Linked DNA regions of Callithrix jacchus. The protein of the gene in region 2 binds, or shares a complex with, the protein of the main gene of each other region. Links are inferred from orthologs where the notes say so. Each region holds a gene or a part of one and is shown on either strand. Other genes may lie near its edges. The genes, in order: CBLL1, METTL3, RBM15, VIRMA, RBM15B and ZC3H13.

What was found.
Region 1: METTL3 (region 2) and CBLL1 share a complex: the UniProt entries of both Homo sapiens proteins name them as parts of the WMM complex. The link is inferred for Callithrix jacchus from reciprocal best matches to the Homo sapiens genes METTL3 and CBLL1.
Region 3: METTL3 (region 2) and RBM15 share a complex: the UniProt entries of both Homo sapiens proteins name them as parts of the WMM complex. The link is inferred for Callithrix jacchus from reciprocal best matches to the Homo sapiens genes METTL3 and RBM15.
Region 4: METTL3 (region 2) and VIRMA share a complex: the UniProt entries of both Homo sapiens proteins name them as parts of the WMM complex. The link is inferred for Callithrix jacchus from reciprocal best matches to the Homo sapiens genes METTL3 and VIRMA.
Region 5: METTL3 (region 2) and RBM15B share a complex: the UniProt entries of both Homo sapiens proteins name them as parts of the WMM complex. The link is inferred for Callithrix jacchus from reciprocal best matches to the Homo sapiens genes METTL3 and RBM15B.
Region 6: METTL3 (region 2) and ZC3H13 share a complex: the UniProt entries of both Homo sapiens proteins name them as parts of the WMM complex. The link is inferred for Callithrix jacchus from reciprocal best matches to the Homo sapiens genes METTL3 and ZC3H13.

Annotation. Positions count from the first base shown.
Region 1 is NC_133512.1:78,201,394-78,206,436, forward strand, and holds the start of CBLL1 (E3 ubiquitin-protein ligase Hakai), read left to right. Parts: upstream 1-1,653; 5' UTR 1,654-1,829; coding exon 1,830-1,878; intron 1,879-2,530; exon of another isoform or gene 2,531-2,892; coding exon of another isoform or gene 2,893-2,905; intron 2,906-5,043. UniProt on the Homo sapiens protein: E3 ubiquitin-protein ligase that mediates ubiquitination of several tyrosine-phosphorylated Src substrates, including CDH1, CTTN and DOK1. Targets CDH1 for endocytosis and degradation.
Region 2 is NC_133509.1:56,009,797-56,014,858, reverse strand, and holds the start of METTL3 (N(6)-adenosine-methyltransferase catalytic subunit METTL3), read left to right. Parts: upstream 1-1,449; 5' UTR 1,450-1,558; coding exon 1,559-1,658; intron 1,659-5,062. UniProt on the Homo sapiens protein: The METTL3-METTL14 heterodimer forms a N6-methyltransferase complex that methylates adenosine residues at the N(6) position of some RNAs and regulates various processes such as the circadian clock, differentiation of embryonic and hematopoietic stem cells, cortical neurogenesis, response to DNA damage, differentiation of T-cells and primary miRNA processing.
Region 3 is NC_133508.1:148,190,049-148,195,217, forward strand, and holds the start of RBM15 (RNA-binding protein 15), read left to right. Parts: upstream 1-1,726; 5' UTR 1,727-2,819; coding exon 2,820-5,169. UniProt on the Homo sapiens protein: RNA-binding protein that acts as a key regulator of N6-methyladenosine (m6A) methylation of RNAs, thereby regulating different processes, such as hematopoietic cell homeostasis, alternative splicing of mRNAs and X chromosome inactivation mediated by Xist RNA.
Region 4 is NC_133517.1:32,689,052-32,693,610, forward strand, and holds part of VIRMA (protein virilizer homolog), read left to right. Parts: intron 1-996; coding exon 997-1,090; intron 1,091-1,369; coding exon 1,370-1,914; intron 1,915-2,440; coding exon 2,441-2,676; intron 2,677-3,153; coding exon 3,154-3,406; intron 3,407-4,559. UniProt on the Homo sapiens protein: Associated component of the WMM complex, a complex that mediates N6-methyladenosine (m6A) methylation of RNAs, a modification that plays a role in the efficiency of mRNA splicing and RNA processing.
Region 5 is NC_133516.1:33,966,575-33,971,796, forward strand, and holds the start of RBM15B (putative RNA-binding protein 15B), read left to right. Parts: upstream 1-2,166; 5' UTR 2,167-2,269; coding exon 2,270-4,939; 3' UTR 4,940-5,222. UniProt on the Homo sapiens protein: RNA-binding protein that acts as a key regulator of N6-methyladenosine (m6A) methylation of RNAs, thereby regulating different processes, such as alternative splicing of mRNAs and X chromosome inactivation mediated by Xist RNA.
Region 6 is NC_133506.1:165,174,039-165,178,597, forward strand, and holds part of ZC3H13 (zinc finger CCCH domain-containing protein 13), read right to left. Parts: intron 1,183-4,559; coding exon 1,079-1,182; intron 692-1,078; coding exon 1-691. UniProt on the Homo sapiens protein: Associated component of the WMM complex, a complex that mediates N6-methyladenosine (m6A) methylation of RNAs, a modification that plays a role in the efficiency of mRNA splicing and RNA processing.

The DNA.
Region 1 (5,043 bases), on a different chromosome or scaffold from region 2:
ACTTCGACATTATTCTAGTGTATTATAACCAACGTTTTATTTTTTAAAGGGACAGATTAAAAACAGCAGAGAGCATTGCATATAAAAAGGGTAAGTATAGTTTCATGACACTTAAATATATGCTTAGGTGTTGTGAGTTTATGTGTTGAGCTATGATATAAAATGTATGTCTAACAGTGAGAAACATTTATTTAACAGCAACAATTTACAAACCAAATAGACCAGGTGTGTTTGTCCTTACTTGGTACTGAGGAGTCTGTAATAGGGTATTGGGGAAAACAAGTTCTCTGATAGCCCTCTTAGCTTTCTCATAACATATACAGTAACTATGTAAATGGAAGTCTATCAAAACATCTTGGAGCCCACTACCTTATAATTCATAGGTAGTAGCTAAAAAGGTGCACCTCAGTGCTTCAGACTATTCGTTACAGTAAGTTTTCACTTTTGTAAACCTTAGGTCAGTACCGAGCTATATAAATAAATATTAATGATGACTCTTCATAAAGAAGTTGTGAATAGTTACAGCACACCGGTCGCTGAAACTACTAATAAAATGTAAGTAAAGAGATTAATTTATCACACTGCTACTGCATTGGTAATTAAAGGCAACCACAATTAAGGGGGAAATGAATACAGACCACAGATGCTAAAGCCATGCATGAAAGTAAGAGATGTCAAATCAAATCCAACAAATGTTTAACATTTTATCAGATCTAAAATAAGTAAATCTTCTTTCAGTAAATTTTCATAACGACGCATCATAAAATACCCACAAAACTTGACTTAAAAATTATATAAAATACATTTTGAAAGCTTTTTAATTCAAATTATTTAAATATTAGCATCGGCAAACACAGTATTATTGTGAACATGGATTTGCATGAATCAGAAGTTTAGCTGAAAAAGTATGACAGAACAAAAAAAAAAATCAAAGCCAGTGGTGGTGATGAGCATCTGTAGTCCCAGCTACCGGAGGCTGAGGCATAAGGATCCCTTGAGTCCAGGAGTTCAAGGATGCAGTGAACTATGATTGTGCTATTGTACTCGTTTCTGCCGCCTCATCTCTAAAAAAAATTTTCTTAATATATGCAAAAAAGGTACTTTCTAGAGGAAAACTTTTTAAAATACTCCAAATTGGTGAAAAATGCCTGACTATATCAACTCTGTATTTAGAAATTAGGGAGGTATAGGGAAAAGGTTAGGCAAACTCCAATGCCCAAAAAAATAATTTCAGAAACTGAAAGCATCTTGAAAACCACTTAGCAATATAGAACTTTACATTTTAACAAAAGCAGGGATAATTTTGATTCACAAAGGTCCTTCGTTGTGAATGTACCTAAAAACTTGTTTATAAAGCTGCCTATATGCAGTGGAAAAGTCTTTTACAAGATCTCAGGAAAATAACCACTAAATGCATGGTGCACTTATATCGCACTGATCATAACAGTATGACTCACAGCTAATACCGTGCAAATACAAAGATATAACACATTGGTACTCATACTTTATTTGCAATTCAGTACCATGAAAACATTTCTCTAAGAGGTCAATATAATATTTTATTAATCTAGGAACTCTGGCACTGAAAGCGTGAATAACCCAAGGTGATGATGTCGTCACCAAGGGACGACAAGAATAGAACCCAAATCCCTTGACTCCCCAAGCTTGTGTTTTCCATTAATTGTGCTCCTTTCTATTCATCCACGAGCATCAAGCGTGAAAGGCTGGAGAAAGGACTAAATACAAAAAAGCCAAGTCCGCGAGGTGGAGACTGCACTGAAGGTCCTAGGAATCGCCCCTTGGCACTTTCCTTGTTTTGGCTGAGGAAGATGAAAGCAGCAGCAACCACAAACCCCTGGGACCAAGAACTGGAACTAGGTACTGCCTATTGTGGTATCTCTCTTCCTCATTTTAGGCCTTTCCTTTTTAACCTCTCCTTCTGGCCAAGCCTTGGCGCTCTCTTCCCTTCCCTCGGCTTCCATCCGCTCCCCTTAGCTCCACTCTGCACATTCCTGCTAGGTGTCCCCTTAAGAGGAGGCAGCTGCGCCGCCCAGGTTCTCCATCCTCCATCCGGCACAGGCGCCCACTCCTCGGGTGTTCGAGGGGTTAGTAGCGTCACAAGCGCTCTCCCTAGAAAGTGAGTGGCAGTCAAGCATTATGAATGTATTTCAACTGTAAAGAGACAAGTTGGGAACAGGGGCATATACCAAGACGGCTCTGCGTGAGTCTAGGTAGCTCGTCACAACAAAGCAAAACTTAAGACAATAAATGTTGCGACTTTCCTTCTAGCTGCGAGCTTCACAGCTCAGCCATCCCCTGAGCAATCTCCCACTGGAGGACGCCTTCCGGAGCGCCTGTGTTTACACTTTTCCTACACTCAGTGGAGGCAACAAGCGCTCCCGGACCACGGGGGATTCCAAACCGTTACTCCGCCCGCCGGGGTGGGGCCAGCACAACGGCCGAGCCTGCGCAGCCGGCAGCCGGCTTCGCGGCCCCCGCGCACTACAAGTCCCAAAAGGCAGCTCTCCGCGGGGGCGGGCAGCCGCCTTAGCTGCCGCGGGCTCATTTCTACCACTGCTCTCCCTCGCCCTGGTCCTCGCTGGTGCCCTTTTCACAGTTAAAGGCTACTTTTCCTTGAAGCACATGAGGAGAAGCCTTAGCGACCTCGCCACCGAACTTCGCGCGCTCGCTTTTTCTGCCTCCGCACCAACTATGCCTGAGTCCCTCACAGGAGTTGGGTAGTGGAGGCGAGAGAAGGAAGTCTTTGTAGACCAAAGCTGGGACAATCCGCTCGGACTTCCGCCTCCCGGCCTCCGGAAGGCAGTGCGCAGGCGCGGGCTGCGACTCCGGCGCGGTTGACTTCCGTTCCCACTGTGCTGTGCGAGCCGAATCATGGATCACACTGGTAAGGAGGCGGAGGCAGTGGGGGTCCCGGTTCCATGCCCCCTTGGCCGGCCTGGGACTGGTCGCCCAACAGGCAAAAGGGATTACGCTCGCCCCACAACACTTGAGTGTGGCAGTGAGAAGAAATCTCACAGTTGCCTTCCCGTGCCCGGGAGGGGCCTGCTGCTTCCTGGCCTACCCTCTGGTGCGGTACCTACCTCCTTGGTGCCGGCAACAGCCGCTCCTCTGTTTCTGCTGAGCTCCGAGCCCGGACCGGTGGGCGGCGTAGGCCTTTGGGAAGGGAGAGCGCCGGCTCTGTTTTATTCAGCCCAGCTGCTCTGCCCTGCATTATGGGGACTCGCGGGTAGACTGCGGTCTCGGAGTCGCGGAATCCGCTGGGAGTGGACGGGCTAGAGTGGGTTGGAGACTTCCTGCTGTCTCAGTCAGCTTTGGGCGGGTGCTGCAGTTGTAACCTCCTGTCGTCTCTCCTGTCCTTCATGGACTAGAGAGGTGAAAGAAAGGAGTGGGATATAGTTTTTGGAATCAAACTTGGTGGAGCTTTTCTGCCTAAACCAAAAGCATGCCCCGCGCTTCGGCTGTGGTCCTTACTCATCATTTGAGGGTATTTACAAAGAGGAGCTTAAAATAAAGACATTTTCATCCTTTTCTCCAAGTAAGAGTAGCTCCACCCTTTGTTATGTGTTTTCTGGCTTTTGCTTCTTTCTGGTTCTTGGATGGTGAATGTATGCTATTGGAATTAACAAGTGCCCCATAGAGTTATAGCGACCATATCACAAATAGAGAAAAAGTATTTTTCGTAAGTATTGAGTTGTCCTCACTCATCATATATCTATTATATAATTAGGTGTGTATGTTTGTTTATGCCAGATACATACAGATATGTATAGGTCGGGAGATGGAGGATGGAATGGTAAACAAGACGGACCAAGTCCCTGATAGACCTTCTATTTTATGGAAGAACACAGACAATAAGTTCTTTTTTATTGTTTGTTTGCAGATCATAAGTGTTTTGAAGAAAATAAACGGGTGTTTTGGAGAGATTCATAGGAAGAAATTTCAGAGGGTTGTTAGGAAAGGTCTTTGTGGCAGGGTAACATATAAGCTAAGATCCGATGGATGAGAAAATCCAGTCCTGGGAAAAAAGCAGGAGGAAGAGCATTTCCAGCAAGTGCATAGGTGCTGAGTAGGAAGATGTAGCGAAGTTAGCTGCAGCCTAGTAATAGCCAGAGAGTTGAGTCCTGAAGTGAGATTGGAAAGGAGGGCAGCCGTCACATTCAGGTCATTGAAAACCATGGTAAACGGTTGAATTTTATTTTAAGTGAATATGAAGGCATTGAACAGAAGTAGAGGAAGAACACAGTCTCTTTAAACAATGTAGTAGGCTGTTCTGTGGAGAATGGTGTAAGAGAGGGAGGTAAGAATGTTGGAAGATAGGTGATTGCAGTAGACCGGAAGGGAAGGTTGGTTTGGTGGAAATGAAGGAGAACGGGCAGCTTCAGTAAATACTTGGGTAGTGTTTGGAGGAATGTGAGAGAAAGGAGAAATGCCTACGTTTTTGGTTTGAGCAGCTAGGTAGTGTCCCCATTATTGAGTTGAGGATAACTCGGGGGAGAAAACAGTCCTTTTTTTGTAGAAGTGAGACAGGAAAATTTGGGAATAAGTGTTTAGTCTTGGACTATTTAGTGTGAGACAGCTGTTGAAACACAGGAGAGGAGATGTCAAGTGGAGATGAAGGGTTAAGAACTGCACTGAAAATACGTATTTGGAAGTTAGTACCTTTATTTATAGCTGGTGTTTTAAAGCATGAGGACAGATGAACCATGTAAGAAGGGTGTGCTGAGAAGGGAACCCAGCCTAGAACCAGGCTGTAAAGAATTCCGGTGTTTGGGAATTTTTATAGAGTTGAAACTCTGGAATTTTCATGTTAGAATAGCAAATATTCAACTTTAGGAAAATCTTATTTGAGCCCATGACTGGTATTGTGAGTCAAGTTCCTGCCATGGTTGAGAGGCTATTATGTTAGGAAGTCACAATGGGGTGGGTGTAAAGAGTGCTATCTTAATTCTTGAAGTTAAAAGATTGCCTAAGGAAGTAAAACTCATCCTAACATGAAAATATTCACCAATGAGCTAACCACTT
Region 2 (5,062 bases):
ACACCACTGCACGCCCGCCTGGGCTACACGAATGAAACTCTGTGTCAAAAAAGAAAAAAAAAAAAAAGGATTGTAGGAAAAAAAAAACAACCCTTGTATTTAAGTTTACTACACATAAAGTGCACATACCAAAATGTTCAGCTCAATTACATTTCACAAACTGAACACACTCATGCAAGTAGCTCTCGTAACAAAAAACACAACGCAACCAGGACCTCAAAGCCCTCTTAGTGTCGGAACTCTATTTTATTTGTTTATTTATTTTGAGACGGAGTTTCGCTGTTGTTACCCAGGCTGGAGTGCAATGGCACGATCTCGGCTCACCGCAACCTCCGCCTTCTGGGTTCAAGCAATTCTCCTGCCTCATCCTCCCGAGTAGCTGGGACTACAGGCGCACAACACCGTGCCCAACTAATTTTTGTATTTTTAGTAGAGACAGGGTTTCACCTTGTTGACCAGGATGGTCTCGATCTCTTGACCTCGTGATCCACCCGCCTCGGCCTCCCAAAGTGCTGGGATTATAGGCGTGAGCCACCGCGCCCGGCCCGGAACTCTATTTTAATCGATTATACGTACTTTGTAAATTCAGCCTAAGAGAGAGATCACGTATTTGAACTCTCGTATTTTTCCTTCAGCCCTCCTCACTTCCCCACGCCTCTCCCGCACACAAAGAAAAATGCGCACACCCTCTACGGCCTCCCACCTCAGATTGGGGACCACCGTTGTTTTTTTGTAAATGAAGCAATAGACACAAACCACGTCTTCAGTGGAAAAGGTATGTTAGCATCCAACTGTCAAAAGGAACAAGTGATCCTTCATCTTAAACTTCTGTACGTCAGAGCGCTTATAGCTCACGCCCGTAATCCCAGCACTTTGGGAGGCCGAGGCGGGCGGATCACCTAAGGTCGGAGTTCGAGACCAGCCTGACCAACACGGAGAAACCCCGGCTCTACTAAAAATACAAAAAAATTAGCCGGGCGTGGTGGTATATGCCTGTAATCCCAACTACTCGGGAGGCTGAGACAGAAGAATCGCTTGAATCCGGGAGGCGGAGGTTGCGGAGAGCCGAGATCGCGCCATTGCACTTCAGTCTGGGCAACAAGAGCAAAACTCCGTCTCAAAAAAAAAAAAAAAAAAAAAAAAAAAAAAAAAAAATCCGTACTACATGGTGATGCTCTCTACGAGTGCTATTTTAACATGGGTCAACTCTCAGAAGTCCTCTCCGAATATTCAACATGGCCGCATGCGCATCTGTAAGCAATATGGCCGCTCTGCCAGTCACCAACATGGCAACCACAGCCTCACTGTGCCCGGAAGCATGAGAGAGCGGGTATAAGGACTATACCGGCCGCTCTGCCAACACCTAACGTGGCTCTCTTTATAGCTTCCAAGAAAGCGCGACACCGGAAATTACTTTTCGGTCTTGCTCATCTCTAGGGGTCATTTTCCGGTTAGCCTTTGGGTGCCCGCGTGAGAATTGGTTATATCCTGGAGCGAGTGCTGGGAGGTGCTAGTCCGGCGCGCCTTATTCGAGAGGCGTCAGGGCTGGGAGACTAGGATGTCGGACACGTGGAGCTCTATCCAGGCCCACAAGAAGCAGCTGGACTCTCTGCGGGAAAGGCTGCAGCGGAGGCGGAAGCAGGACTCGGGGCACTTGGGTGAGGCACGGGGCTGTTGGGGTCGAAGCTCAACCGGGGAGTATGGGAGGGATCCCTAGAGAAAAAGCTCCAGAGTCAATGTCCTTTACCAAGCGGCTATTTCTATAAAGCCGCGTACATGGGGTTACTCCCTCTACCATTCAGCAGCACAGACCCTCGCCCTTCTGCAAGTAGTTCGCGGTTCCTCCTCACCCTGGGCCTCGGTTCTTCCAGCTCACTTTTACCGGACCGACGCTTGAGCCCCACCCTCGTCCGCCTTGCCCACTCCCTCTTCAGACTGCGAGGACGTTGCCTCTTTGAGGCCTCCCAGCCCCCTATCTTGCGAAACAGCAAGACCCCTTTTTTGTTGCCGCTATGGCGCTTTGTTCCCTCAATTAATAACGACTGCTTTGTAGTGGTCATTTCTTTGCAGCTGTGGGCACAGTGAGCAAAGAATGAACCTTCATATCCACAGTGACCAGTTTAGTGGCCTGTACAAAGTGGCACTCCGTGTTTCTGAATGAGTACCCCTACCGACATTGACTTAGCCATTTACATACCTAGCAAAAATCTGAAAACATTTGTGTTTGGTTTCTAAACTTTTTCTCCCCTCCTTTTGCCCCATGTCACGATCATAAAACTTTGAAGGAAATTTAAAAGCTGGTTAAGTTAACTCTTATCCACTCCCTACCCCCACGACAAACTCTGAATTATTTAAGGCAAACTAGTAACAAAGCTCTGCAAAAATAGTGACTCAATATCACCTTTGTGGCAGATTGTTCCAGTATCTTGAACTCCATCTCTCAATCTTGTCTCAATTATGTTAGGTTCATGTGCTCATATTCTGACCCCTAGAACTAGAAAGTGCGCTGCCGGGATCCTCCCATAATTAAGTATCCTTTCTTGAGTACCTACAGTATACATGGGTCTAATTAGACAAAAATAAGTAAGAAATTGCCCCTGTCCTTTAGTTTAAAAGGCATAGGTTTCAAGGGTAGATGCTTTAAAAAGTCAGGAATATGATAGGATATATGTTATATGTGTGTCTATGTATATATATATATATATATATATGTATGAAATTGAATGAATCTACAGTCTTCACAGTGAAAGAGAAGTAACTGAGCTCTGGTGTAGGTAGTGAAACCATCAAAGCCATCATAGTGGAGCTGGCATTTGAATTTGGCCTTTATGGATATGTCGGACATAGATAATTTTTTTTTTTGAGACGGAGTTTCGCTCTTGTTACCCAGGCTGGAGTGCAATGACCCGATCTCGGCTCACCGCAACCTCCGCCTCCTGGGTTCAGGCAATTCTCCTGCCTCAGCCTCCCGAGTAGCCGGGATTACAGGCACGCGCCACCATGCCCAGCTAATTTTTTGTGTTTTTAGTAGAGACGGGGTTTCACCGTGTTGACCAGGATGGTCTCGATCTGTTGACCTCGTGATCCACCCGCCTCAGCCTCCCCAAGTGCTGGGATTACAGGCTTGAGCCACCGTGCCCGGCTGACCTAGATAATTACAGAGGTAAGAGGGAAGGGTAGTAGAGTAGACAGTGCAAGTCATATCATCAGCCAATAATTAGTAGTCAAGCTTTGGCGTAGTTCTTGAATTACCCTAAGAGGGGTAATTTTTTCTTCTTGCTTTATAAACTTCACTGATTTGTTCTATTTTGTTTTTGCCATGGAGTTTTGCTTTTGTTGCCCAGGCTGGAGTTCAGTGGCATGATTTCAGCTCACTGCAGTCTGTCTCCCGGGTTCTAGCAATTTTCCTGCCTTAGCCTCCTGAGTAGCTAGCATACTACTACCACGACACCTGGCTAATTTTATATTTTTAGTAGAGATGGGGTTACTCCATGTTGGTCAGGCTGGACTTGAACTCTTGACTTCAGGTGATCCGCCCAAAGTGCTGGGATTACAGGCGTGAGCCACTGTGCCTGGCCTGATTTCTTTATAGATACAATTTTTTGTTTTGTTTTGTTTTTTCCCTATTCTTTGGTTTCCCGTTTCTAAACTTTTTAAAAATGTGCATAAATTATGCCAGTGACTTTTTTTGTTTTTGAGACAAGGTTTCTCACGGTTGCCCAGGCTGGAGTGTGATGGTAGGAGCCCCTCACTGCAGCCTTTGACTTCTGGGCTCAAGCAGTCTTCCTGCCTCATCCTAAGTAGCTAGGACTATAGGTGCATGCCACCATGCCTGGCTAATTTTTAAATTTTTAATAGAGATGAGGTCTCACTATGTTGCCCAAGCTTGTCTTGAACTCCTGGGCTCAAGCTGTCCTCTTGCCTCAGCGTCCCAAAGTGTTTGAGTTACAAGTGAGAGCCACCATATCCAGCCTATTTAATTTTCCTATGGAATCTTTCCCCTTTGGCAATGGCAATTGGAAAAGGAGATCTGAGGATTCAGTAGTTGTTTGTTTCAGCAAAAGTTATCTGCAAAATTAACTTAGTTATGTATTTAGTTAGAGACGGGGTCTCCCTCTGTCACCCAGGCTGGAGTGCTGTGGCATGATCATGGCCTACTGCAGCCTGGACTTCCCGGGCTCCAGTGATCCTCCCACCTCAGCCTCCCAAGGGGCTGGGACCACAGGTATGTGCTACCATGCCCAGCTAATTTTTGTATTTTTGGTAGAGAGGGTATTTCACCATGTTGCCCAGGCTGGTCTCTTAACTCCTGAGCTCAAGCAATCCACTTGCCTCAGCTTCCCAAAGTCCTGGGATTACAGGCGTGAGCCATCATGCCTGGCCTATAAAATTAACTTTTGAAAAGCCACTATATCAGTGTACTATATCATTGACTACTTTGTGTTCATCTTTCTGTCATTTTGGTGACAGGCTATCCTCTATCCGTGGTGGTATTTGTTGCTTTTTGGTTTTAATTGTTCTTCATTGTACTTTATACTTTTCCATTTCTAAATTCATACTCTTTCAATGGGTGATTCTAATTGCTGTTGGTCATTTTAAGTTTCATTGCATTTTTCCCTAATTCTAACTACATTTTTGTGTTAAGCAAACTTTGTGCTGTATGCAGACCTAATTACTAGAGCCTTGGTACTTTCATCAAGGTCCTTGCTAAACATGTTTAATGTATTTGACCATAAGTCTGTATTCTCCCTGCTTGTATAACTATCTAATATAATATAGCTAAGATACCTTTTTTTTTTTTTGAGACAGTCTCTCACTGGGTTGCCAAGGCTGGAGTGCACTAATGTAATCTTGGCTCACTGCAGCCTCTGCCTCCTGGGTTCAAGCTACTCTCTGCCTCAGCTTCCTGAATAGCTGGGATTACAGGCACCCACCACCACACCTGGCTAATTTTTGTATTTTTAGTAGAGACTGGGTTTCACTGTCTTGGCCAGACTGGTCTTGAACCCCTGATCTCATGATCCACCCACGTTGGCCTTCCAAAGTGCTGGAATTACAGGCG
Region 3 (5,169 bases), on a different chromosome or scaffold from region 2:
CAGCATCCAGATTTTTATCTTTAAATATCATTTCCCACTAAAAGGAATCAGAGCTCTCCGGAGAAATGGCTGATTCCACAACTGGGGCAGGAAATGTATCAGTAAGTCTGGGAGAAAACAATAGAGAAAGGAAGAGTGGGAAGTGTGATGCAGATGAAACAAGACTGACATGATTTGACAACTGTTGAAATAGGGTGTTGGGTATATGGAATTCTTTATAGTATTCTTTATTTTAAACTTTTTCCATAAAAATAATTTAAGGAAAATTAAAAATAATTATTTTTTAAACTGAAGGAGTAATAGCGTGCTTTTTGTATAAAACAAAAGATTTCTACAAAGAAAAGTGAAGTCTCCTTCCTATTCCAGACCGTCACACCCAGCCTCAGGGCGATCCTAGTAACACTTTCCCATATATTTGTCACGGAAGTTTCCAAGCAATGATATTTTTAAAATGTACATACTCACAAATGTAATTTTTAAAACCACAAATGATAGCATGTTATACACATTATTTTATGGCTTGTGGTTTTATTTTCTATTTTAATACAATGAATATGTTTATACATTACAATATCGTAGACTTTCTTGCTTTACCATTGAGCTTCTTCCTTCAAATTTCTTTGATCTAATAAAGGGATAAAAGGCCTGCCCCTTCACATTCCTCAGGATTACTTACCAAAAGGATGGCTCGGCCGCTAAATTTAGGTTACAGTTCCTTTTTTTTTTTTTTTTTTTTTTTGAGACGGAGTTTCGCTCTTGTTACCCAGGCTGGAGTGTGCAATGGCGCGATCTCGGCTCACCGCAACCTCCGCCTCCTGGGTTCAGGCAATTCTCCTGCCTCAAGCCTCCTGAGTAGCTGGGATTACAGGCACGCGCCACCATGCCCAGCTAATTTTTTGTATTTTTAGTAGAGACGGGGTTTCACCACGTTGACCAGGATGGTCTCGGTATCTTGACCTCGTGATCCACCCGCCTCGGCCTCCCAAAGTGCTGGGATTACAGGCTTGAGCCACCGCGCCCGGCCCACAGTTCCTAATCTTAACACCGTTTTCAAGTTTAGGTTTCGGCTTTTGGGACATTATTGTTACCTTGAAAAATGTCATGTTTAAAAACACCTCACACCCTCTACCATAGATTAGATCTTGGGAAATAGGTTGAGGACGCGATCAATGTAAGAATCCTCATAACCTCCGCCCTGGCGGATACCTGGGAGGGCTGCAGACAGTCTAACGGCTGCGGTGACCTCAGCGCTGCGCCCCTCCAGCAGCCGGCGAGCGCTGGGGCGGAGGCCGTACCCCACTAAGCTCGGCATCTCCTGCACCTCCCACAGGTGCTCTGTCCGCCACAGTAATGCTCTACGGAAAAGAGAGTTGTAAAGCGGACGGTTGGAGGAGCCAAACGAGGTGGATCTGGAGCGGCCGCAAGGTGCCTGCGCTGCTGGCTTCTAATACAATAAGCGGAGTGTGGGGGATACCAGAAGTTACAGCGGGGAAACCAAGTTACATTATCTGCATGGAACCTAAATTTCGCTTGATGACTTTCCAGGGAGAAGCATTAGATGTTAAAAACAAACATAGGTATTTTACGGGACAACAGAATTAAAAAATCCACACAGATTCGCAAAATAAAACAGGCCGCCCAGAGACACGTCCACGCTGTCCCGACAGTTCCGGCTCCGCCTGCGGGCCAAGAGGCGGGGAGCGACGGTCACTCCCCTCTGCTACCCAGAGTACTTGGGAGGGGACGGGGAGCGCCCCGGAAAGCAGGGCCCCCAAGCGAGGAGTGCTTCTTCGCCGCGCAGCTTGAAGTTCTTGAAGTTCCTTGTGGCAGCACCGCCCCGGGGCAGCGGCGTGACCTGGGGCTGCAGGAACCTTGAACTCCTAGCTCAGCGGGCCCGGGTGACCGCGGGCGGGACTCTCCCGCGCGCGGGGGCGGGGCTCCCCCCGGCTTTTCACGCAGCGGCCACAGCGACCTAAGATGGTGTCCTCTAGGCGTCCCAAGACGGCTTCCTGAGGGACTGGAGGGCCCCGACAGCCGGAGAGCCTGCCACGCTCCTGGGCCGGCGCAGGTAGGATGGCGGGGAGCCTGAACGTTTCGAACTCCAACGGCCGAAGCACAGCTAAGTACCTCACGGAACTGAACAAATGTTTGTGGGAGGACGCCGAAAAGGCGGGGAGGCGGGGCTGGCTCACAGCCACCCTCTCGCGACATCTAAGTGACGTCGCACAGTAAGCACGTGTTCTAGTCTTTCACCTTCAGTCAGCCTCCTCCTTTATACGGGCCTACCCCTTTAAGCAAGTGATGGACAGTTATTTCAGCTTATCAACTTCCTTGCGGACATCCAATCAGATTTAAACTTCTTTTAGCCGCCGGAGGAGTTGGGAAAAGGGGGTCGAAAGAGGGAGCTCACCCTCTCTCGCGATATCGCTGTGAGGCTGCCTCTGGAAAAAACGCTGAAGCGGATGGCCCGACCTCCTAAATAGTGGTTTAAAGGACGGGTTTATAAGCCAATGAAAGGGATGAGGAGGTGGGGTTGCTGCTTTCACCGAGTAAGAAGTACCGTTACAGGGCAGACTTTTCGTCCAATGAAGACCTCCAGACTTTGGGTCACATGACCGTAGAGCGCTAGGGGCGGAGCTACAGCCTGGCGCGAGGAACCGTTAAGATAGACAACAAATATAACCAATGAGATGCTCTGACTAGGGCTTTGGAAACCCAATAACAGTGGTTGGGCGGGCGCCTTCCTGGAGCGCGGGGAGATGTAAAGATAGACAAATAATTTTTCCAATGAGACTGTAGAAGAGAGAGCCAATTGGCCAATGAGGACTGCGGGGCGGGATTCTGGGCCGCGGCGGAGTCCAAGATGGCGGCGTGCGGTTCCGCTGTGTGAAACGAGCGCGGGGTGGCGGGTTAATCACCTCAGCGGAGACGACCTCCGACGACCCGCAACAATGAAGGGGAAAGAGCGCTCGCCAGTCAAGGCCAAACGCTCCCGTGGTGGTGAGGACTCGACTTCCCGCGGGGAGCGGAGCAAGAAGTTAGGTGGCTCTGGTGGCAGCAACGGGAGCAGCAGCGGAAAGACAGATAGCGGCGGCGGGTCGCGGCGGAGTCTGCACCTAGACAAGTCCAGCAGCCGAGGTGGCAGCCGCGAGTATGACACCGGTGGGGGCAGCTCCAGTAGCCGCTTGCATAGTTATAGCTCCCCGAGCACCAAAAATTCCTCAGGCGGGGGCGAGTCGCGCAGCAGCTCCCGGGGTGGAGGCGGGGAGTCACGTTCCTCTGGGGCCGCCTCCTCAGCTCCCGGCAGTGGGGACGGCGGGGAATACAAGACTCTGAAGATAAGCGAGTTGGGGTCCCAGCTGAGTGACGAAGCGGTGGAGGACGGCCTGTTTCATGAGTTCAAACGCTTCGGTGATGTAAGTGTCAAAATCAGTCATCTGTCGGGTTCTGGCAGCGGGGATGAGCGGGTAGCCTTTGTGAACTTCCGGCGGCCGGAGGACGCGCGGGCGGCCAAGCATGCCAGAGGCCGCCTGGTGCTGTATGACCGGCCTCTGAAGATAGAAGCTGTGTATGTGAGCCGGCGCCGCAGCCGCTCCCCTTTAGACAAAGATACTTACCCTCCATCAGCCAGCGTGGTCGGGGCCTCTGTAGGTGGTCACCGGCACCCTCCTGGAGGGGGTGGAGGCCAGAGATCCCTTTCCCCTGGTGGCGCAGCTTTGGGATACAGAGACTACCGGCTGCAGCAGTTGGCTCTTGGCCGCTTGCCCCCTCCACCTCCGCCACCATTGCCTCGAGAGCTGGAGAGAGAGAGAGACTACCCCTTCTACGAGAGAGTGCGCCCAGCATACAGTCTTGAGCCAAGGGTGGGAGCTGGAGCAGGTGCTGCTCCTTTCAGAGAAGTGGATGAGATTTCACCCGAGGATGATCAGCGAGCCAACCGGACGCTTTTCTTGGGCAACCTAGACATCACTGTCACCGAGAGTGATTTAAGAAGGGCGTTTGATCGCTTTGGAGTCATCACGGAAGTAGATATCAAGAGGCCTTCTCGCGGCCAGACTAGTACTTATGGCTTTCTCAAATTTGAGAACCTAGATATGTCTCACCGGGCCAAATTAGCAATGTCTGGCAAAATTATAATTCGGAATCCTATCAAAATTGGTTATGGTAAAGCTACACCCACCACCCGCCTCTGGGTGGGAGGCCTGGGACCTTGGGTTCCTCTTGCTGCCCTGGCACGAGAGTTTGATCGATTTGGCACCATACGCACCATAGATTACCGAAAAGGTGATAGTTGGGCATATATCCAGTATGAAAGCCTGGATGCAGCACATGCTGCTTGGACCCATATGCGGGGCTTCCCACTTGGTGGCCCAGATCGACGCCTTAGAGTAGACTTTGCCGACACTGAGCATCGTTACCAGCAGCAATATCTGCAGCCTCTGCCCTTGACTCATTATGAGCTGGTGACAGATGCCTTTGGACATCGGGCACCTGACCCTTTGAGGGGTGCTCGGGATAGGACACCACCCTTACTGTACAGAGATCGTGATAGGGACCTTTATCCTGACTCTGATTGGGTGCCACCCCCACCCCCAGTCAGGGAACGCAGCACTCGGACTGCAGTTACTTCTGTGCCTGCTTATGAGCCACTGGATAGCCTGGATCGCAGGCGAGATGGTTGGTCCTTGGACCGGGACAGAGGTGATCGAGATCTGCCTAGCAGCAGAGACCAGCCTAGGAAGCGAAGGCTGCCTGAGGAGAGTGGAGGACGACATCTGGATAGGTCTCCTGAAAGTGACCGCCCACGAAAGCGTCACTGCGCTCCTTCTCCTGATCGCAGTCCAGAATTGAGCAGTAGTCGGGATCGTTACAACAGCGACAATGATCGATCTTCCCGTCTTCTTCTCTTGGAAAGGCCTTCTCCAGTCAGAGACAGACGAGGTAGTTTGGAGAAAAGCCAGGGTGACAAGCGAGACCGTAAAAACTCTGCATCAGCTGAACGAGATAGGAAGCACCGGACAGCTGCTCCCACTGAGAGAAAAAGCCCTTTGAAAAAAGAAGACCGCTCTGATGGGAGTGCACCTAGCACCAGCACTGCTTCCTCCAAGCTGAAGTCCCCGTCCCAGAAGCAGGATGGGGGGACAGCCCCTGCGGCAGCAGCCTCTCCCA
Region 4 (4,559 bases), on a different chromosome or scaffold from region 2:
ATCCACCTGCCTCAGCCTCCCAAAGTTCTGGGATTATAGACATGAGCCATCACACCTGGCCCCAAGTTTTTAAACCATGCTATTCTGTGAAAGCTAAGAAAACTGAAGCAAAACTGTTTGTTACCTAGAAAGATAGCATAGGCAAGTGCTAAGGACATAGGCAATTTTATTTGTTTTTCCTCTAACCTGTGCCCCACCTGGCTACAATAAACTAGACTCCCTTGGTATCTGTATTTAAAAAAATTTAAGTCATGTAGGCCAAAAACATTCCCTGTTGCTTCCTCAGTTTTGAAGGAAGTTTAATACTCACAGGGCTTTTTACTTTTTTCCAAACAGGGTTTCACTATGTCGCCCAGGCTGGAGTACAATGACATGATCATAGTTTACTCTAAATATGATCACTCCCAAGCTGAAGTGATCCTTCCACTTCAGCCTCCTGAGTGGCTGGAACTATAGGCATGCACCATGATGCCTGGCTGAGTTTTAAATATTTTGTAGAGGTAGGGTCTCACTATGTTGCCCAGGCTGGTCTCAAACTCCTGGGCTCAAGTGATCCTCCCACCTCAACCTCCCAGAGTGCTGACATAACAGTTCTGAGCCACTGCACCCAGCCCCCACAGGATTTTAAGAATATAGTAATTGCTTCGTTTTTGGCAGAGAAGATGTATGAAAAGAGTGGATAGAAAATAACCATTTTAAACTCTTAACATTTCTTTATCTTTGTTCTAGTTGGTTCTTTTCAATGAGGTTGTACATTTCAATTCTTTTTATTTACATAATATTGCATATAGTACAACATATGCCAGAGATAAATAATCTTGATAAATTCATTTAGCTCTAGGGCCTTAATCATGTTTTAAATTTACTTAATAAATATAAAATATTATATGTTCTTAACTTGGAGCTCATATTTTTAACTAATTCCTTGTCTGGAATTTTTTGTTGATCTGATGGGTACTAAGAAATGAAACATTTTGTTCATTTTTATTTTTAAAGAATATTGATAACTTGATGACCCCAGAAGGAGTTGGCCTTACCACTGCCTTACGTGTTCTCTGTAATATTGCATGCCCACCACCTCCTGTTGAAGGTAATGTGACTACTATATTTTTAAAAAAATACTATTCTTAAGGCTAGAATAAATATCATTTATTAAATATTTAGTTTAATAATTATTAAATGTTATTTATAATATTTAAGTGTAATTAAATATAAACATTTGTCATAAATATTTATAAAAATTTATTATAAATATAAAAACCATAAATAATTAAATATCATTTATTAAATATTCAGTTTAATAATTAATAATTCTTAATCTTAACATATAAATAATTAGTTTTGTTTCTTTTCCTTATCCTATATAAAGGTCAACAGAAAGACCTGAAATGGAATCTTGCCGTAATTCAGCTTTTTTCTGCTGAAGGAATGGACACATTTATTCGAGTTCTGCAAAAATTGAACAGTATTCTGACTCAGCCTTGGAGGCTCCATGTCAACATGGGGACTACCCTTCACAGAGTTACTACTATTTCAATGGCTCGCTGCACCCTCACACTTCTTAAAACTATGTTAACGGAACTCCTGAGAGGTGGATCCTTTGAGTTTAAGGACATGCGTGTTCCTTCAGCGCTTGTTACTTTACATATGCTCCTGTGCTCTATCCCCCTCTCAGGTCGTTTGGATAGTGATGAACAGAAAATTCAGAATGATATCATTGATATTTTACTGACTTTTACACAAGGAGTTAATGAAAAACTCACAATCTCAGAAGAGACTCTGGCCAATAATACTTGGTCTTTAATGTTAAAAGAAGTTCTTTCTTCAATCTTGAAGGTTCCTGAAGGATTTTTTTCTGGACTCATACTCCTTTCAGAGCTGCTGCCTCTTCCATTGCCCATGCAAACAACTCAGGTATCACTTCAATATAACATGCATCTTATAAATGACTGCGTAACACTTTTTTTAAAAGCCAGTGATTGTGTTAAAAAACAAAAACCCTCATCTCCCTTCCTCCCAAAAAGACATAAAATAACTGGATGAGGGGGAGATAAAACTGAAGCAAGTTGGTCGTTGAGGAAATACGGGGGTAACATTTTAAGTGAATTTTTGTTAAAGTGAGTTTTATTATGCTGTTATGTATGTTTGTACTTACATATTTCTGTTATTTTAAATCCTTTCCCCCCCTTATGTGTTAGAATTTGCCAATAACTGGGTTGCTTCACCAATGGACTCTACTCAACTAACTGCTCACCTGAGAACAATAAGATTTTTTAGACTCATTGAATTCAAGCAAATGTTTAACTGTATAATAGAAAATTGAATGTTTTAAGCATGCAGTAAAAATGTTCTTTTCATAACAGTTCTTCCTGAACAGTTTTTGTGACTATAAATAAATATTTAAAAAATCTACGTACACAACATTATACTTTTTTAACAGGTTATTGAGCCACATGATATATCAGTGGCACTCAACACCCGAAAATTGTGGAGCATGCACCTTCATGTTCAAGCAAAGTTGCTCCAAGAAATAGTTCGCTCTTTCTCTGGCACAACCTGCCAGCCCATTCAACATATGTTACGGCGTATTTGTGTTCAATTGTGTGACCTTGCCTCACCAACTGCACTTCTGATTATGAGAACTGTGTTGGATTTGATTGTAGAAGACTTGCAAAGGTATTTTCATTTTGCATTAAAAATTTTTTCCTCAAGTTATTTTTGACACATATATTTTTTCCCTTATAATTTGGAAACTAGGGTTTGGAATGCCCAGCTAACATATATACATGTAAATATACACATATACCTACATATACACACATATTTATATATGAATACTTATAGACTTTTTAAATTAGAAAGCTTTATTTCATCATTTCATGTGCAAGCTATCTTGACAATCTTGTTTTTTGGGTTTTTAAATGGTGAATTCTAAAGAAGTACTCTGATTTAAGAAAATATATTTTTGGAAACCTGAATTTATAAAATTTTTGCAGTAATTGTAAAATTCCAGAGAAGTTGTCATTATATCCAAGGAATTAAATGTTTTATGCAAAATTTGTGTAAGTTGATGTGTATTGAGAAATAAATAGTAGTTAAACAATGCCTTAAGATCAAAAACATTGTTTACTAAATGTATTGATTTTATTTCAGCACTTCAGAAGATAAAGAAAAACAGTATACTAGCCAAACCACCAGGTTGCTTGCTCTTCTTGATGCTCTGGCTTCACACAAAGCTTGTAAATTAGCTATTTTGCATCTAATTAATGGAACTATTAAAGGTGATGAAAGATATGCAGAGATATTCCAGGATCTTTTAGCTTTGGTGCGGTCTCCTGGAGACAGTGTTATTCGCCAACAGTGTGTTGAATATATCACATCCATTTTGCAGTCTCTCTGTGATCAGGTATTTATACTTATTTTATAGTATCTCTCTCTCTCTCTCTCTCTCTCTCTCTCTGTCTGTCTCTCTGTGTGTGTGCATTTAAGTATCTTTTTTTTTTTGTATTTAAGTATCTTAATGTAAGTCTTGGCTTTCATCTGTATTTTATTATTCCTGCTATTCATGGGTTTCTCTGAAGAGCTTTATTTTTTTCCTTCAAAACCTTGGGTAATTGTTTTATGTGCCACTGTTTCTGTATTTTTTAGGGTCTAATTAATTTTCCTTGTAATTACATTATATTCCAAGTCATTCTTTTCTTTTTTTTTGAGATGGAGTCTCGTTCTGTCACCCAGGCTGGAGTGCAATGGTGGGATCTCAGCCCACTGCAACCGCCATCCGCTGGGTTCAAGTGATTCTCCTGCCTCAGCTTCCCAAGTAGCTGAGATTACAGGCACACAACACCATGCCTGGTAAATTTTTGTATTTTTTAGTTGAGATGATGTTTCACCATGTCGGTCAGGCTGGTCTCGAACTCCTGACCTCAGGTGATCACCTGCCTTGGCCTCCCAAAGTGCTGAGATTATAGGTGTGAGCCACCACGACTGGTCACAACAAGTCATTCTTAAATTTTGTAGCTTTGTGATTGGTTGAATTAATATGTTCGCTGTTAGGGAAACTTTTGAAGACTACTACACTTTTAGTGTGTTTCAGACTACTTTGCTTGTAGATGTTGGCTAACAGTAGTAGTATTTTTTCCTGTTGTCTATGTTATTGACTTCCAGTTTATGGTTTCATGGGTTGATGAGAGTTGTTTTAACTTTTAAAGCCCATTATGATTGAGATGTTTGGAGATTTCTGTGCCTAATTAGGCTTGTCATTTTAGCTTGTCAGCATGCTCTTGCAGAGTGGTCATCAAATGAGATTTTTTTTCAGACAGAATAAGTCCCATGTTGGAAGACTTTTTTGTATCTTAACAAATACTCAGTTTGGTTACATTTAAGACTCAGGTCAAGAAAGAACATTTTTCTGGTATGACTTATTTTCACAAAAAAGGGAACTTGGTAGAAAGGATATTTTAAGTCCTTGTACCTCAAAGTGTCCATTTGATTGGTATTTCTTATATAATTCACTTTGGGTTGCATGACTACATTGAATAGCACTATAACATCCTAGCTGC
Region 5 (5,222 bases), on a different chromosome or scaffold from region 2:
GGGAAAAAACAGTTCAACTGTTTGTTCCCAAAACAGCCTTTTTGTAATTTATTTTTTAAGTGGGCTCCTGACAATACTGTATCAGATGTGAAGCCTGGAGCTTTCCTGATGATGCTGGCTCTACAGTACCCTAATGAGGGGCTTCCCTTCCTTCTGTTGCTGGTATACTCAAGGACTTCAAAGTGTGTCTGGGATTTTTTTATTAAAGGAAAAAAAATTTCTAGCTGTCCTTGAAGAATTAAAGTGAGTACTGAAATAGGGTTTTGCTCCATGAGGATCCTACCAGTTTATGCTTTCCAGTTGCAGGGTTTTGGGGGATATTCATTCCCATTTGTCCCTCAACCCACCAGTGCTGAAAATACCAGGTGCAAGACATGGGGGCCGAGGCCAGCTGATGTGCATGGGTGTCTGCCACTAGAGGGCAGCAAGCACCTCAGCAGAAAGGAGCCTGAGGCAGGGCTGGGCTTGATAACCTGCCCCTTGATAGAGTGCCTACCTTAACGGAGGAGAGCTGGAGGCCACACACTCTAGGAGGAGTGAGTCTGGGATACACTCCTCCTAGAGGGCCTTACATTGGGGCTCAGTACAAGCAAGACAGGGTTTGTGAAGTGGGGTTTCTTGCAAGGATGGCTTCGATCACTGCATGTCAGTGCTGACATCTCTAAAGATGCTGTTGGCCTGGCCACCTACTTGCTCTTTCAGGCTCATGGTCTAGTGTCCATCCCAAACTTCTGATGTCTGTTCCAGTTTTTACAAGACTGGTAAAAAAGAGGGGGTGGGAAGCTGCTTTTTGCCTTTGTTTACCCTAAATTAATTGTTGAGGTCCAGGTCTTTTCTGGAGTCTGCTTCTGAAGCCGCTCTCTGTGGCATTGGTGCTTAGGAACCCCAGGTGTTGGTGTGAGCCTTGGCTCAGTGAAGATGCCTGTAGACACCACCTGAAAGGAAGGACTAAGACCCAATGCTTTCCAAGGAACTGCTCTTGCTTCAGAGCGCTTCACTGTGTCTCCTAAGCTCAGCTTGCCTGTAGGAGGCCTTACAGGCTGCCATGGAGCTTGTTGCTTTCTTCCAAGACCTTTCCCCCTGCACCTGCCTGAGCTGCTTTCTCACTGTGGGAAGAGGGGAAGACTTAGTGTGCTCTTCCCCATCGCGAGGATTCTGTGCCAGAAATTGGATCAGGTTCTACCATGGCTCTAGCAACTGTCATGAATGAAAGCTCCCTCAGTGGGCTCGGGCACCCTTTCCTTCACCTCACATGGAGAGAAGAGGTCCTCCTGAAGGTGAACAGGAGGGTACTGGCCAGTGAGGGGTCAGTGTGGCAAGCTGTGTTAACTGTCATTACTATCTATGCATTTGACCTCTTCATCCTTGGCTCTTGTGGTTCTACTTTTCCAGCCTGCTCTCTGCCCAGATGCCAAAGAAGAGGGTGGGACCAAAGAGTGGCGTTAAAGAGTCTATTCCAACTCCATCAACTTCAACTGCAGGCTTGTCACTGCTTTTGGTTATTACCTACATGCACAGCCATGGTCCTCATGGCCTTTTTGGGGACTGCAGCAGGTGAACTTACATGTGGAAGATGCCCAGAATGTGGGCCTTGGGTCCTAGACAGGGCCTAGAGATGGGCATGCATTTGTCCTTGGGGCAGTTACCCCAGATCCCAGGCAGAAGATGCCAAGGAGGGTGATACGGGAGTTTGCTAAAGCCTAGTCCTGGGGCTGAGGGGTACTACATACACACCACTGACTGGGTCAATGCCCCAGACCCCGACAGCCCACGGAAGCCGCCACTCCTTCCTGTTCCAGTCAGCGCGGGCTCCAGCTCCTGCGGGAGGAGATAGCTGAACCCAGAGCGGCAAAGCACGCCTGGGAGCACAAAGCGTTAGGTCGTCCTGCGTACCTCTCAGGGTTCCCTTCACTTCGCGTAGCCTCAAGCATCGCCCATGTGGGCCGCGCGGTGGCGCTAGAGCGCGAGGCCCAGGCCCACTCACCCGGCGCTCACGGGGGTCACGTGGCACTGGGCGATGCAGCACGATGACGCAGCCCGACGCGTGTCTCGCTCCGCCCGCCACAGAGTCACGTGGCACGGTCGGCGCAGCTTGATAACGCAATGCCAGGCCCCTCGGCGCCGCTCCCGCCCCGCCCCGCCGCCGCCGCCGCGCCGAGTCCTTTTGTCCAAGATGGCGGCGCCGGGGGCGCTGCCTCCTCGGCCGCCGCCGCCGCCGCCGCCGCCGCTGTGAGAAACCTACGGGCCGCCCGCCCGCCGCGCCAGCGCCATGAAGCGGCAGAGCGAGCGAGACTCTAGCCCGAGCGGGCGCGGCTCGTCATCGTCGGCCAAGCGTCCGCGGGAACGCGAACGGGAGGCGGAGGCGGGCGGGCGGCGGGCGGCGCACAAGGCCTCTGGCGGCGCCAAGCACCCGGTTCCAGCGCGGGCCCGCGACAAACCCCGCGGCAGCGGAAGCGGCGGGGGCGGGCATCGCGACAGCCGCGGCGCCGGGGACGCTAATCACCGTGCGAGCAGTGGCCGCTCCTCGAGCTCCGGCGCTGGCGGCGGGGGACGCGGCGGCAAGGCCTCGGGGGATCCGGGCGCCTCCGGCTTGTCGCCCCGCACGTCTCCGCTGCCGCCGCCGCCGCCGCCGCCTGGGGCCGAGCCCACGGGTCCCGGCTCTTCCGCGGCTGCGCCTGAGTACAAGACGCTCCTCATCAGCAGCCTGAGCCCAGCGCTGCCCGCCGAGCACCTCGAGGACCGGCTCTTCCACCAGTTCAAGCGCTTTGGCGAGATCAGCCTCCGCCTGTCGCACACGCCTGAGCTGGGCCGTGTGGCCTACGTGAACTTTCGGCATCCACAGGACGCGCGCGAGGCCCGCCAGCACGCCCTGGCCCGCCAGCTGCTGCTCTACGATCGCCCGCTTAAGGTAGAGCCCGTGTACCTGCGCGGCGGCGGCGGGAGCAGCCGGCGAAGCAGCAGCAGCAGCGCCGCCGCTTCCACGCCTCCCCCAGGACCGCCCGCTCCCGCCGACCCGCTCGGCTACCTGCCGCTGCACGGAGGCTACCAGTACAAGCAGCGCTCGCTGTCCCCCGTCGCTGCCCCGCCCCTGCGAGAGCCCCGCGCCCGCCACGCCGCCGCAGCCTTCGCCCTGGATGCTGCCGCCGCCGCCGTGGGACTGTCCCGCGAGCGGGCCCTGGACTACTACGGGCTGTATGACGATCGTGGGCGCCCCTATGGCTACCCGGCTGTGTGCGAGGAGGACCTGATGCCCGAGGACGACCAGCGGGCCACGAGAAACCTCTTCATCGGGAACCTGGACCACAGCGTATCTGAGGTGGAGCTGCGACGCGCCTTTGAGAAATACGGCATCATCGAGGAGGTGGTTATCAAGAGGCCTGCCCGTGGCCAGGGTGGTGCCTATGCCTTTCTCAAGTTCCAGAACCTGGACATGGCCCATAGGGCTAAGGTGGCCATGTCAGGCCGAGTGATTGGTCGCAACCCCATTAAGATAGGTTATGGCAAGGCCAACCCTACCACTCGTCTCTGGGTGGGCGGCCTGGGACCTAACACCTCACTGGCGGCTCTGGCCCGGGAGTTTGACCGCTTTGGGAGCATTCGGACCATTGATCATGTCAAAGGAGATAGCTTTGCCTATATCCAGTACGAGAGCTTGGACGCAGCCCAGGCCGCCTGTGCTAAAATGAGGGGCTTTCCCTTGGGTGGACCAGACCGCAGGCTCCGCGTGGATTTTGCCAAAGCAGAGGAGACACGGTACCCCCAGCAGTACCAGCCCTCACCGCTCCCTGTGCATTATGAGCTGCTAACAGATGGATATACCCGGCACCGCAACTTGGACGCCGACCTGGTGCGGGACAGGACGCCCCCACACCTCTTGTACTCAGACCGAGACCGGACCTTTTTGGAAGGGGACTGGACCAGCCCCAGTAAAAGCTCCGACCGCCGAAATAGCCTTGAGGGCTACAGTCGCTCAGTGCGCAGCCGGAGTGGTGAGCGTTGGGGGGGAGATGGGGACCGTGGTTTACCCAAGCCCTGGGAAGAGAGGCGGAAACGGAGGAGCCTTTCCAGTGACCGTGGGAGGACAACTCACTCCCCGTATGAGGAACGGAGCAGGACCAAGGGCAGTGGGCAGCAGTCAGAGCGGGGCTCGGACCGCACCCCTGAGCGCAGCCGCAAGGAGAACCACTCCAGTGAAGGGACCAAGGAGTCCAGCAGCAACTCCCTCAGCAACAGCAGACATGGGGCCGAGGAACGGGGCCACCATCACCACCACCACGAGGCTGCAGACTCTTCCCATGGGAAGAAGGCAAGAGACAGCGAGCGCAATCACCGGACCACGGAGGCTGAGCCCAAGCCTCTTGAAGAGCCAAAACATGAGACCAAAAAGCTGAAGAATCTTTCAGATTACGCTCAGACATTACAGCTGGGTTGGAATGGGCTTTTGGTGTTGAAAAACAGCTGCTTCCCCACATCTATGCACATCCTAGAGGGGGATCAGGGAGTGATCAGCAGTCTCCTCAAAGACCACACTTCTGGGAGCAAGCTGACCCAGCTGAAGATCGCCCAGCGCCTTCGACTGGACCAGCCCAAGCTCGACGAGGTCACACGACGCATCAAGCAGGGGAGCCCCAACGGCTATGCAGTCCTTTTAGCCACCCAGGCAACCCCCAGTGGGCTTGGCACTGAGGGGATGCCCACAGTGGAGCCAGGTCTGCAGAGGCGACTTCTCAGGAACCTGGTCTCCTACTTGAAACAGAAGCAGGCTGCAGGGGTGATCAGCCTGCCAGTGGGGGGGTCCAAGGGCAGAGATGGCACAGGCATGCTCTATGCCTTTCCGCCCTGCGAGTTTTCCCAGCAGTACCTCCAGTCAGCACTAAGAACATTGGGCAAGCTAGAAGAAGAACACATGGTGATAGTCATTGTCAGAGACACTGCCTAGCCCAAGCCTGTTTTTTCCAGCGTCATGTTTGTGTCACAAAAGCAGTTATTTTAAAATCTGAACCCCTCTCTACCCTACCAGTTTGGTTTGAATTCTCTCCTGGGTTATTTTGGTTCATTTGGGTGGGGATCAAAGTCCTTTCCGCCACCAAAACTAAGTTCTTAGGTTTGGGGGATTTTTTTTTTTTTAAACAATGAGAAGGGACTCCGGTTGTTGATTTCTAGTGTACAAGATACTGTCTGCTGTGGTTCTGTATTTTTTTATTTTTTGACCAACTGTATGG
Region 6 (4,559 bases), on a different chromosome or scaffold from region 2:
GTAGCTGCGGTGGCAGCATGCTCTTCTGTCACCTCTGTACGGTCAGGCACATCCTCATCAGACCAGTCACTGAATGCTGTATCTTCTTTTTTCTGAGGGTCCTCTAGAATACCATTCTTACCGTTGCAAATTTCAACCAATTCCTCTTTAGTTGTTATAGGGGGAGTCCGTGGGCCTCTTTTCTTTTTACTTTGCTGGGCTGCTTCTTCATCAGAAATATCAGAATCACCTTTGGATTTTTTACGTTTTTTTTCAATGCTTTTCTTTTTCTGTCCTTTTTTGGGTGAAAATACGTGACCCTCTTCAGATGTTGTCTCTATGTTACCCCTCTCTATTCCAATATCATCCTCTTTCTTTTTCTTAATCGGTTTCTTTTGAATTTTTGCTTTCTTCTTGTTTTCATCATGAGCTCGATCAGATGTCTCTCGATCTTCAGACTGGTGATGTCCTATAATGTCCTGTGCACGCATTCTTGAGTTTTCCAGGATTTCTGCCTGTTCTCTCTGTTTATCTATGGAAGAAACTTTTTCCTTGACTTCCTGTTCTTCATAGCGCCTTGAACTCTCTTTCCTTTCTGGTTTACGATCCTCCTCTTTCCATCTACCCTGTCTGTCTTCTGTGAGGTGCGAGGGACTAAGAGAACGAGATTCTTGAGGCCGTACAACTTGACTCAAGAGTCTATGTTTGTCATCTATATAAAAGATAAAAGCGATCACACTCTCGCCAGGTTAATAAACACCGCATGGCACATATAAATAATAAGGCAGTCTCTCCTCACGCCTGTCATCCCAGCACTTTGGGAGGCCGAGGTGGGTGGATCATGAGATCAAGAGATTGAGATCATTTTAAAACTTTTAGAATGACAATAATTTTGGTAAAAATAAAAATATGGCTTTACTATAAATAAAATTACAGTACTCTAACACATACTTTAGTCACAAAAGGAGACATTTAGAGGCAGCAAAGCCAGACAACCTTTTAAAAGTCTCAATTCATCAGTTCCTAGGAGTTTGAAAGGGTGGTTTCCTGGTCCCAAATGAACGTGAATAGAGAAAAACAGGAAACAGGATCTGCTTACTTTTATCATCTCCGCTGTTGTAGGCATCGCTGTCCGGAGAGTGTTCACGGCGGCGTTTTGGGGACTGTCTAGGGCTGGGACTCCCTTCATTTCTATAGCGCTTCCTGAATGGGCAAGCAAACACAATTTATAAAACTCTAGAGGCCAAAAACAGATTTCTCTATTTTTACTAGTATCTCTTTACTATAACTGGAATACATAACTGTAGAAAAGCAATATTGTCAGAGGTGTAGCATACAAAGGCTTCTCAATGTCTTTAATAAAAGTTATTTACTTCATTTGCTAAGAATTGTGAACTTAAAATACACAACAACAACATTTCTTCTTTCTTCATTATATATGTAGAACCACTCAAGTGAAAACTGCCAGATTTAAATACTGCAAGGGGGTAACATGTAGCACAGAAATCAATATATCAATGTACCCTGTAATGTAAACATTCGCAATTTTGCATTCTTAGGCTATAAAAATGCCTTATGCTGCAGGGCTGAATGAGGAAATCTAACATTGGCTGTAAGGTAAAAAGACGTGAGTTCAACTTCTAACTACATTAGTTATCACGCAGCCTTAAGTAAGTTCCTTGAAGTCGCTGAACCTCAGTTTCTCATCTGAAAATGGGTGAGAAATGGGGTCCATCTCATAAAACTGCAGTGAGGAACAAATTAGTTATGTCATAAACCCAGTGCCAGATAGGTTGTGGATACACCGTAAAATCAGTTCCTTTCCCCTTCTTAGAAATCACTTACTTATTAACAAATTCATAAAATAATTCATGCTGATTATATTTGTTGTTCCTTAGTTGAGCTTTAAATGAGCTGTTTTTCATTAAAATCTGACCACCTGTTTTTTAAATTAACATTGTTTATTTACAAATACTATGGTCAAAAGTTAAAAAACATATTGTATACACAGACCAATGAAACAGAAATAAAGCCAAATGATCTTCAACAAAGCATACAAAACATAACTGGGAGAAGGACACCCTATTTACTAAATGGTGGTGAGAAAGCTGGCAAGTCACATGTAAAATAATGAAAATGGATCCCTGTCTCTCACCTCAAACAAAAATCAACTCAAGATGGATCAAAGACTTATATCTAAGACCCGAAACCATTAAAATTCTAGAAGTTAACACTGGGAAATTCTTTTGGACACTAGTCTAGGCAAAGACTTCATGACCAAGACTCTAAAAGCAAATGCAACAAAACCAAAAATAAATAAATGGAACCTAATTAAACTAAAAAACTTCCGCACAGCAAAATAAATAAAGACAACCCATAGAAAGGGAGAAAATACTTGGAAACTATACATCCAACGAAGGACTAGTATTCAGAATCTATAAGAAACTCAAACAAATCAGCAGGAAAAACATAAATAATCCCATAAAAAAGTGGACAAAGGACGTGAGTAGACCTTTCTCAAAAGAAGACAAACAAACAGCCAACAAACATATGAAAAAATGCTCAAAACTACTAGTCATCAGGGAAATTCAAATTAAAACCATAATGAGATGTCACCTTACTCCTACAAAAATGGCCATACAAAGTCAAAACACAGTAGATGCTAGCGTAGACATGGTGAAAGGGAATGCTTATACACTGCTGGGGGGAATATAAATTAGTACAACCTCTATGAAAAGCAGTATGGAGAGGCCTTAAAGAACTAAAAGGAGAGGTTGGATCCAGCAGTCCCACTACTGGTTATCTACCCAAAGGAAAAGAAGTCATTATACGAAAAAGAGTCATTATGACTTTATAAAGAAGTTGTTATATGCAAAATTCACACTGCAAAGACATAGAACCAACCTAAGTGCCCACTGGCCAAAGAGTGGATAAAGAAAATGTAGTATATATACACCATGGAACCATAGAATACTACTCAGCCAACAAAAGGAACAAAAGAATGTCTTTTGCAGCAACTTGTCCTCACTTGTGAGAGCTAAGCTACGAGTAAGCAAAGGCGTACAGAGAGATACAACGGGCTCTGGAGACTCGGAAGTGGCAGGGTGGGAGCTGAGTGAGGGATAAGAAACCACATGTTGGGTACAAAGGCGTACAGAAAGATACAACGGGCTCTGGAGACTCGGAAGTGGCAGGGTGGGAGCTGAGTGAGGGATAAGAAACCACAAGTTGGGTATAATGTACACGAAAATCTCAGAATTCACCCAGGTAACCGAAAACTTCTCGTACCCCAAAAGCTATTGAAATAAAAAGAAAGTAAAAACATACTACAGTACATGTATATCCTAGACAGCTCCTTTATATAGATGAGTAACCATGTGGAGACAGCCCCAGGTATAATATGACAACTCACAGGCCCAAGCTTGTGTACTGCTTTATCCAAAGCCCCTCTCCCATCAATAGCCGGACTATTTCCCCATTTTTCCTATCGAAGTGGCCTAATGACTTGCTACGACAAGAAAATGTGGTGAAAGTGCCACTGTGCAAATGTGAAGAGGGTTCAGGAGGCCTTGCCGCTTCAGCTTCTGTCCTCTTGTTATGTTTCTACCATTACATGCAAAGCCAAGTTTAGACCACTGAAGGCCAGGAGGTCAAGCGGAGCAGAAACAAGATGCCCTAACTGGCAGACACACAGGTGAGACAATCCTGGGCCTCCAGGCCCAGCTGCACTGTCAGATGGAATGTTGATACACGAGATACTCCAATTGAGACCAGCAGAAAAACCACTCCGTTGAGCCCAGGCAAAATCACTAATCCACAGAACCATAAGCAAATAAATGGTTGTTTTAAGTTACTAATTTATGTGGTGGTATGTTATACAGCAAGAGATAACTGATACACTAGAATAAAGGGAAAATTTAAAACATAAAAAAAATAAAACTTCTTTCAAGGAAATAAAATAAACACAATTAGAGTACAATAAAGATGGCTATTCAGTAAACCTACATAACAGCAGTTAAAAAAAAGTGCTGGAGAAACTGAACTACTGAGATGACAATACAGTTAATGAAAGATTAAAATATTAATCTCACATAACTAGTTTCTGTTACAGAGTTATTCAACTCCTAAATTTGTGGGGTCATTGCCAACTCTTAAGATTGTCTAACCATGGAAAATCAGAAAACCTTTTGCTATTATAAGCAGAGATCAGAAGCATGAAAAAAATACAGGTTGAGTACCCCTTATCTGAAATGCCCTGAGTTTTGGGTTTTGGATATTTGCATCGTACTTACTGGTTGTGCGTCCTTTATCTGAAAACCTGAAATGTTCCAATGAGCATCTCCTTTGAGTGTCATGTCAGTGTTCAAAAGCTGTAGATTTTGGAGCATTTCAAATTTTGAATTTTTGGATTTGGAATGCTCAATCTGTATTAATGAAAGCATAGGACTGAATAAAAGACAAAGAATTCAGAATTTTAATCTTGGAAAATAAAGAGGTCAGAAAAGTGGGGGGTAGGGAGGATGGGAATAATATGTATGTGTGCCTCCATGTGTTAAAAAAGATATCTCTAAAGTTTATGT